2 linked regions of the Oryza sativa Japonica Group genome follow. The protein of the gene in region 1 interacts with the protein of each later gene in a pairwise test. Links are inferred from orthologs where the notes say so. Each region holds a gene or a part of one and is shown in the gene's direction. Other genes may lie near its edges.

What was found.
Region 2: the proteins of putative protein Brevis radix-like 3 (region 1) and protein GRAVITROPIC IN THE LIGHT 1 interact in binary tests that used the Arabidopsis thaliana proteins (3 or more experiments, as listed by UniProt). The link is inferred for Oryza sativa Japonica Group from reciprocal best matches to the Arabidopsis thaliana genes BRX and GIL1.

The regions. Positions count from the first base shown.
Region 1 is NC_089038.1:30,803,451-30,806,228, reverse strand, and holds the end of putative protein Brevis radix-like 3, read left to right. Parts: intron 1-167; exon of another isoform or gene 168-285; coding exon of another isoform or gene 286-300; coding exon 301-758; intron 759-876; coding exon 877-1,021; intron 1,022-1,145; coding exon 1,146-1,603; intron 1,604-1,766; coding exon 1,767-1,845; 3' UTR 1,846-2,146; downstream 2,147-2,778. Other genes in the region: uncharacterized protein, read left to right, coding at 2,692-2,778. UniProt on the Arabidopsis thaliana protein: Acts as a regulator of cell proliferation and elongation in the root and shoot. Regulates roots architecture and primary root protophloem differentiation.
Region 2 is NC_089037.1:35,647,859-35,651,616, reverse strand, and holds protein GRAVITROPIC IN THE LIGHT 1, read left to right. Parts: upstream 1-1,518; 5' UTR 1,519-1,571; coding exon 1,572-3,053; 3' UTR 3,054-3,264; downstream 3,265-3,758. UniProt on the Arabidopsis thaliana protein: Required for red (R) and far red (FR) light-induced and phytochrome-mediated deregulation of negative gravitropism leading to randomization of hypocotyl growth orientation.

The DNA.
Region 1 (2,778 bases):
CCTGTTTGTCATATGAGGTCATCGGTCAGCAGGCATCATTCTCGGTACTCTTCCCTAATTTAAAGGTCACACATATGGATACACATGTTTATGGATGTTCATGATTAAAAAACTATTTACTTTTGATCCAAGCAAGCTAAGTATTGACACATGTAAATGTATCACAGATATTATACGATGTGATAGCTACTTATGCCAGTAATTCCAGTGAGAGCTGATGCACATAACACTCGCGAAGTGACTCTCGCGTGACTGAGTGGTAGCTAACTAGGCTCCTACGATGCAATGTGTTGTCTCCAGCTCAAGGACATGGTGCTCAAGTTCTCCGGCTCCAACAAGCATCAGCACTACAAGGCGGCGACGGCCGGTAGCCCTTCGTTCAGGAGCAGGAGCTACCGCCGTCCGTACCCGGGCTTCATCGATGACTCCGCGTTCATGACGACGACCAGGCCTGGAGGTGAGGCCTACATGTACACGAGAGCGGCGCCGCCGCCGCCCGTCCGGGCCGCGTCGACGTCGATGGCGACATGGGACATGACCAGGAGCAAGAGCAACCGAGGGTGGCAGCAGGATGCCGGCAGGAGCCCCGGCGGCACGACGTGGATACAGAGCATCGAGGAGGAGGCCGGCGCCGACGACGTCACCGTCGTGGAGGATGCCGTGCCGAGGGAGTGGACGGCGCAGGTGGAGCCCGGCGTCCAGATCACCTTCGTCACGCTCCCCGGCGGTGGCAACGACCTCAAGCGCATCCGGTTCAGGTTCTGACACTGATCATATCTGCTCCATTTCCACGGTTGATTGTATTCTCTGCACGTATTGTGTGCGAGCGATTTGTCCAGAGTTAACTCTCACGCACGTGCGTATTGGTGTGTGTAGCCGAGAGATTTTTAACAAGTGGGAGGCGCAGCGTTGGTGGGGCGAGAACTACGACCGCATCGTCGAGCTGTACAACGTGCAGACGTTCAGCGGCCGGCAGCAAGGCGTGTCCACTCCCACGTCCTCCGTCGACGACTCTATTCTGGTCGGTACTACGCCCTTCAAAGATTTCACGGGCATTCTATGCTACTTCGAAATCATCACGTTGTTTTCATCTGCATGATCAATAATGCAACTCACTGAAAAATCTGGACCGTGCATGAATGCAGAGAGAATCATCGTTCTGCTCCAGGGGCGGATCGACCCGGGAGAGTCCGGTCGTGACGCCGGCGACGTCGTCGTCGCTGGCCAAAGAGCCGATCGCAAGGAGCATGTCGTGCAAGGCGATGGCGGCTTCGGCGTCTAATTACGCCGCGGCGGCGGCTTCCACAAGAGCGGCGTGCTACCCATCGGTGGCAGTGCCCGACCCGTCCGACCACGTGTGGGCGCACCACTTCAACATGCTCAACTCCGCTGCGGCCGGCCCGTCCGCGGCGGGCGGCGGCGTCCCATCGTTGTACGACCCGTCGCGGGGGACCACCTCGTCCCGCGACGAGGCCTCCGTGTCCATCAGCAACGCGAGCGACATGGAGGCGACCGAGTGGATCGAGCAGGACGAGCCGGGCGTCTGCCTCACTATCCGCGAGCTCGGCGACGGCACCCGCGAGCTCCGCCGCATCCGGTTCAGGTATACACTAATCACGCACGGATAGCCAAAACATCTTAGGTTTACCATGTCACCAACACAAATCTTTCAAATCTAACCAGAATTTCATGTATATACTCGCCTAGGGACTACTTTCTGATTGATCCATGCTTAATCGTACTCAATTGATTCTCTGCTTCTGCAGCCGCGAGAGGTTTGGTGAGGACAGGGCGAAGGTTTGGTGGGAGCACAACAGAGACAGAATACAAGCACAGTATCTGTAACAAGGCATGCATCTATGCATGAGTCGAGCAGATCAAGAGAAAAAGGGAGATAGATTAGGGAGAGGTGATACCGCTGTTAGTTGCTGATCGGTTATCCTTGTTACAGTGCAAGGTAAAACAAAATAGTGAAAGTTGGTAGGGATAGGAGTGAAATGTATCTTTGATGCTGTGTCCCTCTTTGTGTAGACAACATATATAACGTGGTGATGTGTTCTCACCTGGTTGCTGCTTAAATTTTTCTTGTAACGCAAATCTTCATATTCGTTGGTTCAATTTATTCGTAAGCTTGTCAAATCCTTTACCGGATTTCTCCCTCCGTTCCTTTATACTCAGCTATGAAATCTGAGAGGAATTCTCTTTTACGTTGTCTAAACAAATGTCATAATGTCAGTCATTCGTTTTCATTTAAATCTGATCTTCATTTGGACTCCTTATCATTTTCCACTACATCTACCAACAAAATAGCGGGATTAAAAATCAAATTTTCATATTAAATCTCACTAACAATTCTCTCCTATAACCTCCCGATCTCCTTAGTCCAAGTTGCCAAACAAGCTGTACAATCCTCCACACAAAAATAAATTCCTGTGGGCCGTACATGGGCCACACTAATAAACGCCACGTCGGTAAAATTTGTACTAGTTTACTGCGCTGAAGGTCTCTACACGGCCACACGAGCGGCCCAAATTGTCTTAGCCCAAGAAAAACCACAACCGCTTGCGCCCAATTCCACCCACCCACCCTCCGAGTCCGACCCGACTCCACGTGCACTACCTTCCCCATCGCCGGAGTCCGGCGACCCCGCCGCTTGCCGGCCCCTCGACCGATGGATCGGCCGTCCACGTGATGGATCCCTCGCAGGAAGAGCCCGCGCCACAGGTCGCCGCGGCCGAAGGGGCGGAGCCGAGACGGCGGCGGCCGGGGGCCGCGGTC
Region 2 (3,758 bases), on another chromosome or scaffold:
GAGGACGTACCAAAATACCGGTAAAAACATCTTTAATTTTTATAATAGTAGAGATGGTAAATATCAAATACTATTGTTTCTCTCCGATTCTTTTTGTTGTTGTTCGTGGCTCTCATCTTCTTATTATTCTATTGGATCTACTACTCGTTGGTGCTGCCATCTGATTGGCATGGATGACGATCCAGAGATGTGCTGTTTGTGACGCTCCAATCGCAAGAGGCGAGACCGCGAGAGCAACAAGTACACCATGCGCCGGCGCTCTTCTCTTCTCATCCTGTGTTACTCCAGCCCAGATGTGAGCATGTGGCCCGTGCAGAAAAAGAAAAACAGATGAAAGGCCACGCTAGGGCCGTGCCGGTGAAGGAAAGGAGAGATGGGCTGAGCCAGCTGGTTCGCTAGGGCCGAAAAAGGAGAGAGGAAAAGCGGGCCGTCGAAGAAAGAGATGATTCAGCACATCATTTGTATTTTCTACTAGTGTGCTTTTTTTTTTTGGAAAATATCTGAACGTATTTGGATTTGAATTCAAAAAATTAGTTGGAACTAAGGAAAGATTTTAACGAAAATATCAGGAAATCTATTTTTGTACTTTAACCCCTCTCTCCATCTATTTCTTCTCCTCCTATGGCGTTAGGTGTTGCTACTCGCCATTGTCTCATCACGCTCCGCCTTATCTATGGGGCCTTCCTCGCTGGTACGGTGCTCTATCTGCCGGTGCCCATCATCACCATACTGGGTGAAAACCTACATTCATTCGCATCTGGCTGGTCTGCATGTTTCGCAGAGCAAATGGTCTCGATTAGTACATTACAACAAGTGCTTTTCACGGTTGGAAAGGTCAAAAGAGGTTAAGCTATCCACTTGCCCAGACCAAGCAGGCGTCTGGTAGATGAATGCATTGATCACATGCTCAGCCGCATAATCCGGGCTACCATAACACTAAAGAAAAGAAAGTCATACCACATTATCACAGCTCGTAACATAAAACTTCGGTTGACTCGCACTTTGATCATGGAGACATATGATCAAACTTACAGTGTAGCCTACATATTTACTGCAGTAGTTTGCATCAAGGAAACCGAAGCAATGCCCCTTGCTAACACACTATTCCATTCGTCCCATAAAAAATCAACCTAGTAAAGTGGCACATTCTAGTACAACAAAAAGACATACGTCTGTTTAGATTTGTTATACTGGAATATGTCACATCTAGTCCTAGATTCTTTTTTTTTAAGAACGGAGGGAGTACACTACTACTCCTATGCTGATGTGTGTTGGTACTAGAATGCTGGTTTTAAAGTGGAGATTAGTGGCTCATTAGCATCGTTTGAATGGTGGTTGTTTAGCCGAGGGAATTGGTGGTGAGGTTAAATAGTATTGAGCCTGAGCTTCCCAGCTCACTGCCTTGTCTGCATCTGGCTGACCTCCATGTTTGCGCAGAGCATCTGTCTCCCATTTTGTTCGGGTGTTTGGCTTGGCCTCCCCTCCTCTTAAATTCACACACGCCCCACCTCGTCACTCGTCTCGTCTCGCACAGTCGCAGCTGCTGCGGCTGTTTGCCCATCAATCAAGAAATGGCGAACAAGGCTGTCACCATTGGCGATCTGATCCACCGCGTCGCCACCTCCTGCCTCTCCAACCGCCTCCCCGGCAGCTACGCGGTCAGCGACTCCGGCGACACCGACTTCGACGACGACGACGACGACGACCCCTTCGCTGACGCCATCTCGGGGGCCGGTGGCGAGCGGCGGCGCACTCCCTCTTCTTCCGAGGAGGCGGAGGCGGAGGCGGAGGCTGATGATGAGGGGGAGGATGGTGGTGAGGGTGGGGAGGAGGAGGATGAGGAGAATCTGAAGATCTGGGAGGAGAAGAGGAAGGTGAAGGCGGCGGCGGCGGTGGCGGCGAGTGGGGCTGAGCGGGCGAGGGAGGCGGAGACGCTCATGGCGGAGGTGTTCGACGCGGTCTCCGGCGTGCGCCGCGCGTACTCTGACCTCCAGGGGGCACACTGCCCCTGGGACCCCGACAAGATGCGGAGCGCCGACGCCGCCGTCGTCGCCAAGCTCCGCCACCTCGCGCGGCTCCGCGACCGCTTCCGCCGCTCCGTCGCCACGGGGGGGCACATCCCCGGCCCCATCCCCACCGCGCCGCCGCTCCGCGAGGCCGTCGCGCCGTACGAGGCCGCGCTCGACGACCTCCGCCGCCAGCTCCAAGCCAAGCAGGCCGAGGTCGATGGCCTCAAGGAGAAGCTCGCCGTCGCGAGCAACCGCCGCAACTCACGCCACCACCCCTCCAAGCACAATGCCTCCGGCGGCGGCGGCGGCGCCCCGACCGCGGAGCTGTTCGCCGCCTGCGCCGAGCAGGCCCGCGCCGCGATCCGGGCGTTCGCGGGGCACCTCCTCCAGCTGATGCGCGCGGCGGGGCTTGACCTCGCGGCGGCGACCCGGTCCCTCACCAAGATCCCGGTGTCCTCGCCGCAGCTGGCCAAGCACGCGCTCGAGGCGCACGTCACCCGCGTCCTCCTCGTCGGCTTCGAGCACGAATCCTTCTACCTCGACGGCTCCCTCTCCTCGCTGCTCGACCCCGCCGCGTTCCGGCGGGAGCGGTACACGCAGTTCCGCGACATGCGGGGCATGGAGCCCGCCGAGCTCCTGGGCCTCCTCCCGACCTGCCCCTTCGGCCGCTACGCCGCGAGCAAGTTCGCGGCGCTCCTCCCGCCGCGCGTGGAGCAGGCCGTCCTCGGCGACGGCGAGCACCGGAGGGCGGTGGAGGGCGGCGCGCACCCGCGGACGCCATTCTACGGGGAGTTCCTGCGCGCCGCGAAGGCGGTGTGGATGCTGCACCTGCTGGCGTTCGCGCTCGAGACGCCGCCCAGCCACTTCGAGGCCGGCCGCGGCGCCGAGTTCCACCCGGATTACATGGAGAGCGTCGCCGGCGGGCGCGGCGGCGGCGCCGCCGGCATGGTCGTCGGGTTCGCCGTGGCGCCCGGCTTCCGGCTGGGCAATGGCGCCGTGGTGCGAGCCCGGGTCTACCTCGTGCCGCGCGGTGGCCGACCGTGACAGGATACGCAATGCACGGATCGCCTCTTCCTTAGCTGGAGTAGTTGATTGGTGGAAGCAAGTGTTGTAGTAGTAGCTGCTTAATTACATGTGTAATAGACTTGGATTACTCCAGAAATGAAGGATGAACCATTTAGTCTACTTACTGTTCTATTTAGCATTTTAGCAACCTCTTATCTGAAGTAATCCATGGGTAAGAGAATTGGGTGTATGATCATGTTGTACTATTACTATTATTTAGTCAAAGTAGGGGTTGGTACTGGAGTATTAGCTGGGTCATGTGTACTATCAGTATGATCATCGCAAGATGTGGGCTTGAGTATGATGGATAATTAAGAAGGCACTCTATCATTCAGAAGATGTGGTAGTAGTTGTCACATGACATCAAAGAAGTACTATCCTTAATTGGCATTTATGATGTGTTGCTATTAGTCTGTTAATTGAAGAAGTTGAAGGCTACTAGATCATTCTTGCTGGGCAGAGGACAGGCTAGATCTGTTTAGATAGATTTTCTGCAATTTAAAAACATTAGGCATGGTACACAAGGAAAGAACAGTATGTTGCTCAATGTATATTCATCAAAAGAATGAATTTGTATCTTGTTCAGATCAAGGTATTGTGCCTTTTAAAAGCATGAAAACATGTTGCATGATAGAGCTGTTCAGGTGAAGAAATGCACAGTTTGTCTTTCGCAAACAGATCTCC